Lonchura striata: one gene and its partner. The protein of the gene in region 2 binds, or shares a complex with, the protein of the main gene of each other region. Links are inferred from orthologs where the notes say so. Each region holds a gene or a part of one and is shown on either strand. Other genes may lie near its edges.

Region 1 (3,744 bases), on a different chromosome or scaffold from region 2:
ACTGCTGGAAGCAGCTCCAGAGGGGAAATTGCCTCAGCTTACATCCCTCAGAGGGGTCTGCACCGCTCCCAGCCCGGCCACCAGCGCCACAGAGACTCTGCACTGCAGGGAAAAGTCCAGCCCAAGGATCCCTGAGCATCCTGAACACTCCTGCTTCACCAGAGAGGGAGCACGGACACCTCCCCCCGAGAGGAGGGACCCAGCCCCCATCCACCACCCCAGGGGTTCACATGAACCACGGAGAAAACATTTAAAACATTTATCATCAGCGAGTCCAACTACGTGCCAGTTAGACCCCAGGATGCATCTTCAGGGACTGCTCCTCCACTGGGAGTGCTGGTTTTGTTTCCCAGTATTCTGGAAGGAACTGGGCACTCAGCTGCTCACTCTGCCTTCCCGACCCTGCCAAATTCCTTGGCAGTCGTTCAGCGGGCAGAGGCGCGGGCACAGCCCGGCCCTGCACTCCTGCCCAGCAGGTTATCCCAGAGCAGCCCTGAAACACGCCCTGAACATCACACCTGGGCCAGCATCCCCGTGAATAACCCGGGACAGGCACAGACACCCTGCTCCTGGAAATCCCGGAGCTCTCCTCGGGCACGGGCACAGCCCGCCGAGGGGGCAGCCCTCAGCACGACCACACGGGCAGTTTCTGGGGGTTTGGGAAAATGAGCTGCAGCCACAGCGTGCTGTGGGGTGCACCTGGAGCCACTGGCACATCTGGCCGAGAAGGAGCTTTTTTAGACACTCTTACTTCAGCCTTTCCCCTGGAACTGCAGAACCAGACGTGCCTGAGGCACCAGAAAACTTGGCAGGGAAAGTTTGGTCCCAGAGGAATTTCCTAACTCCCCTACCCTGCCAAGCAACAATAACCTATTCCAGAGCTCCAGGAGATTCTCAGGAGCTGCTGGAGCTCCCTGATCCCCCTGTGGGCAGCCTGGAGTGGCACCTGGGGCTCAGCCAGCTCACCTGAGGGCACTGGATAACCTGGGCAGAGCTCTGTAGGCTGGGAAGAGCTGACCCCGCTGCCAGGCGTTCCTGAGCCCCGATTCTGTGGCCTGGGCGTGCTGGAGGTTTGTGGGGCCCCGCTGCTGGCTGGGGCTCCGGGAGCTTCACTCCACTGCTGAGGCTGATCCCTCACTCCAAGCAGGTCCCAACTCCCCAGGAGCAGCCCTGGGGCTGCTCCCCCTTAGGAACAGCCCCTCCCTGCTGCCAGTGCAGCTGCAGTGAGGGCAGACCCTCCAAAGCCCTGCCTGTGCTCCCCCGGGGCTGCGGCACGCACCTGGACCTCTGGAAGAAGCTGAAGCTGGACACGTCGTAGGCAGCTTTCAGCAGGCGCACCCTGGGCTCGCCTTTGTAAAGGACACTTAGGCTGTAGAGCCTCATGGCGGCGGCTCTGGGGCTGCGGAGAGAGGGCGGAGGGCTCGGGCTGGGCCTGCGGGCCGGGACAGCCCCGGGGCTCCCCCAAACCCCCCTCCCGTCCCGGACAGGTGGAGCCCCCAGCCCCACGCCTGCCTGCTCAGCCCGGCCCGGCACGGCTCAGCCTGGCCCAACCCAGTATAACCCACTATAACCCAGTAAAATCCACCCCAGTATAGCCCAGTATAGCCCAGTAACACACAGCCCGGTATAGCCCAGCACCCAGCCCAGTAAAATCCACCCCAGTATAGCCCAGTAAAACCCAGTCCAATATAACCCAGTAAAACCCAGGACCCAGCCCAGTAAAACTGAGTAAAACCCCGCAGAGTATAACCCAGTATGGCCCAGTATAACCCAGTAAAACCCAGCCCAGTATAACCCAGTAAAACCCGGCCCAGTATAACCCAGTATGGCCCAGTATAACCCAGTAAAACCCAGCCCAGTATAACCCAGTATGGCCCAGTATAACCCAGTAAAACCCAGCCCAGTATAACCCAGTATGGCCCAGTATAACCCCGTAAAACCCAGCCCAGTATAACTCAGTAAAACCCAGCCCAGTATAACCCAGTATGACCCAGTATAACCCAGTAAAACCCAGCCCAGTACAACCCAGTATGGCCCAGTATAACCCAGTATAACCCAGCCCCTCCACCCAGTGTAACGCGGCCACTGCCCAGTACAACCCAGCCCCAGCCATCCCCCGGCCCCAGCAGCCCCGGCCAGCCCCGCCAGCCCCGCCAGCCCCGGCCATTTCCGGGCCATCCCCGGGCCCGCCCGGTACCGGCGCTGCGGTCCCGGCGGCGGCCGAGCGGCGATGGGCGCGACCCGGAAGTGGAGCACAGCGGCCGGAAGTGCCGGCCCGGGGCGCCGTGGCACTCCTCCCGGCCTGCGCACGCGCCAAGATGGCTCCGCCCCCTCAGCCTTCTGACCAATCGGCGCCCGCTTCCCCGCTCTCCGGCGTCCCCCGGGAGGCCAATCAGCGCCGAGCTGGGGTGGCCCTGTTCCTCGGGGCGGCCAGCAGGGGGCGCTGTGCCCGGCGGGGCCGCGGGGGCGGGGCCTGTTCGGCTCCGTGGGGCGGGGTCCCGGGTGGGCCGGGGGTCCCGGGTGGGCGGGGTCCCGCGTGGGTCGGGGGTCCCGGGTGGGCGGGGTTCCGGGTGGGCGGGGTCCCGCGTGGGTCGGGGGTCCCGCCGTGGGCGGGGTCCCGCGGTGGGCGGGGTTCCGGGTGGGCCGGGGGTCCCACGGTGGGCGGGGTCCCGGGTGGGTCGGGGGTCCCGGGTGGGCCGGGGGTCCCGCGGTGGGTCGGGGGTCCCCTGTGTGGGGTCCCGTCCCCATGGCGTGGTGACCCCTCTGAGCAGGGGGAGCAGCCTCCCCCGGGTGCTGGGGCCCGCCCTGGGGAGCGGGGACCCCTCCGTGGGGCGGTTCCGCCGTGGGCAGTGGGGACCCCTCCGTGGGGCGGTCCTGCCCTGGGTGGAGGTCCATCCATGGTGGGGGGCAGGGGCTGAACCTCCCCAGGGTTTCGGAGCCCTCCGCGGTGCGAGGACCGCTCAGGGTGGGCTGCCAGGACCCTCCTGTGCGGCCGGGGGGAGCAGTGGGGTGCTGTGGGGTGACCCTGTGTCCCCCAGACCCTGCTCTGCCCCCAAACCCCGTGCCCTGCCCGGAGCCCCCGCAGCCCCCCGGGGCTGTCACCCCGGCGCCCCTCCGGGCTTCCCGGGGATGGGGCGACGCTTCCCGGAGCAGCGCCGGGAGGTTTCGGGGTCTCGGACCTCCACAGTCCCCGATTTGCGCGACGCCGGGTGCGACACGTGGCTCCGGGGGTGCCGCATCCCCCTCCTCAAATCCGGCCCCCCGCCCGGTCCCGGCGGCGCCGGGGCGGATCCGCGCCCCTCCGCGGGGTCCGCCGGCCGCGCCGTGCCCGCGGTCGCCATGGGAGCGTGCCGGTTGCCAAGCCGGCCGCTGGAGTGCTTGCCACCGCCATCGAGCGGTTGGCGTGACAACGGGGACACGGGTGACCCGGGGCGTGGTGCTCCGCGGGGAGGGTCCGGGCCGAGCCGGGCCAGCGCACCGGGGGTCTGCAGAGCTGGGACCCCCGCCCCGGGATTGATTTATTAAGGGAGCGAGCGGGAGAGGTGACCGGAGCCCCGGCGGAGCGGAGGATGTGCGGGCACAGCGCTGATCGCCCTGGGGCCCCGGGCCCCGCTCCCGGCCCCTCCGCTTGAGGCCACCGGGACCCCCTCGGCGGGCGCCGCGCTGGCCCGGCCGATGAGATAGCGCGGCGAAGGTGGAGCATCAGCGAGGCTCGGAGCAGCCCAGCGCCGCCGGACAGCCGCC
Region 2 (3,744 bases):
TGAACACTTTTTCACTTTGGACAGCTACAGCTCAATTTAGTTAACATGAAAATATCTCCTAGTAATATCAAGTACATATTTAAGAACTAACATATCTAATTTGTAAGGTAACAACCTCGAATTATACCTCCCTTATACTGAACTGGAATATGTGAAAGGAGCTGGATTGGACAGTTTGGAAATGTTCAGACATCACAGCCTGGAAAAACTTTAGTGTCCTGGTTCTCACAGTATTCAGAGTAATTCTAGAGCTAAAGTGGCAATAATGATCAACATTACAGCATCCTGTCCTACCTAAGGGGTTCAAACCCACCATCTTAAATCCAGCATAGTTTCTGCCTAAAAAAGAATGCTTTATTACTTTTTGTAATATCATTAAAATACTTCATCCAGAAGATTGAATGAAAGACACTCACTGCAAGCAATCAAGCCAATTGTTCAGAAGTGTTTGAGCCTTTTTGGTACTTTTTCACACAATGGTTTGCATCAGCAGAACAAAAAACCAGAACAAAATAAAGGCATGAGCAATAGTGAGAAAATAAGTCTATAACAGAGACAGCTGCAGTGAAAAAAATAAGATAGAGAGTTATTTCTTATCAGGGGGAGCATATTCACCAAATAAATTAAATGCTCAACAGATTAGTAAATTTTTTCAATTATACACCCCAAATAAACTCATATAAAAAAAAAAAATTTGCTCTTGTTCTGGTCATACATATCTGTCACCTCAGCGTGCACTAAGAATAATTTATAAAATAAAAAATTATCTATAAAATGCTCCAATAAAACCTGTAGCTAAGGAGGATTCCAAGATAACTTACAAAACTGGCAACAATGCTGTAACCATTAATTGACCATTAAAGGTAAAACATTCCCAAATAGGACAATTTTTGGAAAGTGACACAGCTAAATCCTACAGTTTTGTCCATTAGATTATTTTTTTTTTTTAAATAAGATACTGAAATAATTTTTGTCATGGGCCTCCAACAGTAACTGGTTCATAAATCTACAATCATAAAAACTTAATCACAAACACTTTTTTCTAAAATTACCCTTCTACTTTTACCTGGACAGCACTGAGGGTATACAGAAGATGAGGATCATGACCTATGCTGGCACTTATTCCACCACACTCATGTTGACACGATTTGATAAATGACAGAATTTCTTCTTTGTTCATTCGGTGCAGCTGCCCCATGAGATCCATCGCTGTCAGTCCCCAGTACACACCACTCATCCTCAAATACTCCGACATACAGTATTCCTAAATAGTGTATTATTTTAGTTCTTGATCAGATGAGCACACCATCAATATAGCGCAATGAAAATACATTAGTTAACTTCCACAAATATCTTAGCTTCTAGTTAGTGAATCGTTTTCCAACCATTTAGCAACTACACATCAGCCACTCAGAGATATTCGGTACATCACGCACATGTGTATATACATACTCATACATATGGGAAAATGTACATATAGATATCAACACGTACTATACTCCCTTCCTCCCTGTATTTTTCTAGTTCAAACCATCAAGCTCAATGTCAAATTAGCCACGAACAAGTAGTTGGGCACCAATTCACTTCAGATGACTTAATATCTTGACATCCAAAGAAGCCCTCAAATTGCCACCCTAACTAGTCTCAGATAATAACAAGTCTATTTCAAAGTGCCAAAACCCTTACAATTTAAAGTTGCACTAGAGAGTGAAATTTTTTATTGAATTCTCTTGCATTGATTACATCACCTGCACTACACAAACATTATTTTTTACATGCACTACAACTGAAAGCAAGTGCTTGGCATGCTTTTCTGAACAGTAAAGGTAACCGCAACTTTTCTTCATGTAAGCAGTTATTGACAATTTTTACTGCCGGAAGTGGAATTCCATTTTTGTGGACTACATCCAACCACTTATGATTGCAAAATAGATGTAAGTTGTCCCATCAAAAGAGTAACATGCAAATGCAACTCTACTTGTGCATTCTAGTGGATAAAGAAGCTAGTAGGCTGTTTCTCAGGTCTCAGAGTAATTATAGAGCTAAAATAATAATCTTCAAAATTATAGTCAGATAATACATGACAAAAGTCACCACAGACATAGAGACATTAACAAGGGCACCTTTGTTTTACACTTTGGATTGCAGGGTAAAAAACAATTAGCTAGTTAACATGCATCTAACCCTTAAATCTGAGCCAATAAATAAAGGTTATTACTGTTAACAAAACCACAGCTGCACTGTAACAAACTGATACGTACATAATCATCTTTCTTTGTTCCGTATGAAGCTATATAGTCCGCATGTTTTTCTGAAAGTAATGTGCTTGGGGCATCGGGTTTTATTATAACATCCTTTTGCGGTGTTCCCTGTAAAAAGCATCAAGAAGTCAGTTGCAATGTCAGATCAAAACGTTTTAGCAACTTGGTATAAATGAGCCAACACCGGTGGCTGTGACTTCGGGAAAAAAACATCCCTCTACCTATTTTGAGCCTAGGTCAGGTTGCGCATCTCACGCCATCACTGTTCAGCCTGGCTAAACCCTTCCCCAGGAAAGGCTACGAACCAAACCTTGCAATAAAGCTAAGAAGTAACACCAATTCGCCAAGGACACCCTGAAGTGCCGGACGCAGGAGCCCTTCCCCGAGCCCGGCCGTGCCGCCCCGCGCCCCCACGACTCCGCGCGGCCCGGCCGAGCCCGCGCGCTCCCGGGGCCGCTGGAGCGGCGAGAGCCGCCCCGAGCCGGCTCGGCGCGGCCCGCGCCCCTCCAAGGCCGGTACAGCCGCGCGCCAGACGAGCCGCAGCACGGAGCCCCGACCCACCATGTTCTCCGCACGCACAGGAGGAGGCGAGGAGGCGAAGCGGAAGGCGGAAGGCGGCGGCCGGCGGGGCCTCGCCGTGCCCCACAGGAAGAGGCGAAGCGGCGAGGCGGAAGGCGGGGCCGAGCGGCGCCGCTGCTCCGCGCTGTGCTCTTCAAGGGGCCGGCAGCCGCCTTTGCCTTCTGACGTGCGGCAGGTAAAGTCTGCTCCAGCTGTGCACTTTCTTCCATCACAGCAAATAGGACAGCGTTTAGAAATAACTTCGGTTTCCTTCCTCAGGTCTGTGAAAAAGCAAATCCAAGAATTTAGTCGCAGGTAAAATGGGTAAAGATAGCTGTCCTTTTGCTCAAAACCATTTCTCTTGCTTCTTCATTAAAATTGTCTTGGGTGACTCTATTCATGATTACCAACTCTTGATGCTGGCACATGTTCCCCCTGAACTATACCAGGCAGGAACATCAAAGAAGTAGTACTAAACATAATGCTGTGTTGCATAGGACAGTCAAAAATAAGGTCTGTTTCTTACATATGTCAAATACTTACTAAAGATGTTGCATTATGGGTTTTGGGGGAAAATCAGTAATTTATAGAGACTAACTGCTTTCTTTAAAGAACTGATTTTCCAGGTATTTTACCCAAGAAGTAAGGATTGCAGGCAGAGCTTATACCTGATGACAGCAGTAGAACCATCCGGTAAATTCAGATGAGACATGAAAGAGACCAGACAGAAGCAAGGACATTTTGGAGTGAAATTGGAAATTACTTACTAGAATTACTCAGGTTTGAAGATATCTCTTGAAATCATGGAGCACAACCCACCTACACCAAGTAGGCTTAGCTAGAGGCAGGTTGTTCAAGACACTACTTGTTGAGTTTTGAGAGTCAAATGGAGACTCCATCACCTCTGCCAGCATATAACATCCCT

The links. Proteins that work in one complex are often made in the same cells at the same time.
Region 1: the proteins of RABGGTB (region 2) and YKT6 are in contact, whole or in part, in a crystal structure (PDB 6J7F), measured with the Homo sapiens proteins. The link is inferred for Lonchura striata from reciprocal best matches to the Homo sapiens genes RABGGTB and YKT6. Residues at the interface, in NP_004573.2 of Homo sapiens: Thr3, Pro4, Gln5, Lys6, Asp7, Ile9, Lys11, Tyr37, Leu45, Trp52, Leu236, Asp238, Cys240, Arg281, Gly283, Asp284, Met285, Asp287, Phe289, His290; in NP_006546.1 of Homo sapiens: Lys60, Gln62, Asp63, Leu65, Asn83, Glu84, Tyr85, Pro86, Ser87, Leu153, Asn155, Thr156, Glu158, Arg189, Lys190, Cys194, Cys195.

Annotation. Positions count from the first base shown.
Region 1 is NC_134634.1:5,331,906-5,335,649, reverse strand, and holds the start of YKT6 (synaptobrevin homolog YKT6), read right to left. Parts: upstream 2,310-3,744; 5' UTR 2,198-2,309; intron 1,400-2,197; 5' UTR 1,384-1,399; coding exon 1,280-1,383; intron 1-1,279. UniProt on the Homo sapiens protein: Vesicular soluble NSF attachment protein receptor (v-SNARE) mediating vesicle docking and fusion to a specific acceptor cellular compartment. Functions in endoplasmic reticulum to Golgi transport; as part of a SNARE complex composed of GOSR1, GOSR2 and STX5.
Region 2 is NC_134611.1:4,027,141-4,030,884, forward strand, and holds the start of RABGGTB (geranylgeranyl transferase type-2 subunit beta), read right to left. Parts: upstream 2,908-3,744; 5' UTR 2,826-2,907; coding exon 2,823-2,825; intron 2,370-2,822; coding exon 2,262-2,369; intron 2,096-2,261; exon of another isoform or gene 2,020-2,095; intron 1,265-2,019; coding exon 1,067-1,264; intron 1-1,066. UniProt on the Homo sapiens protein: Catalyzes the transfer of a geranylgeranyl moiety from geranylgeranyl diphosphate to both cysteines of Rab proteins with the C-terminal sequence -XXCC, -XCXC and -CCXX, such as RAB1A, RAB3A, RAB5A and RAB7A.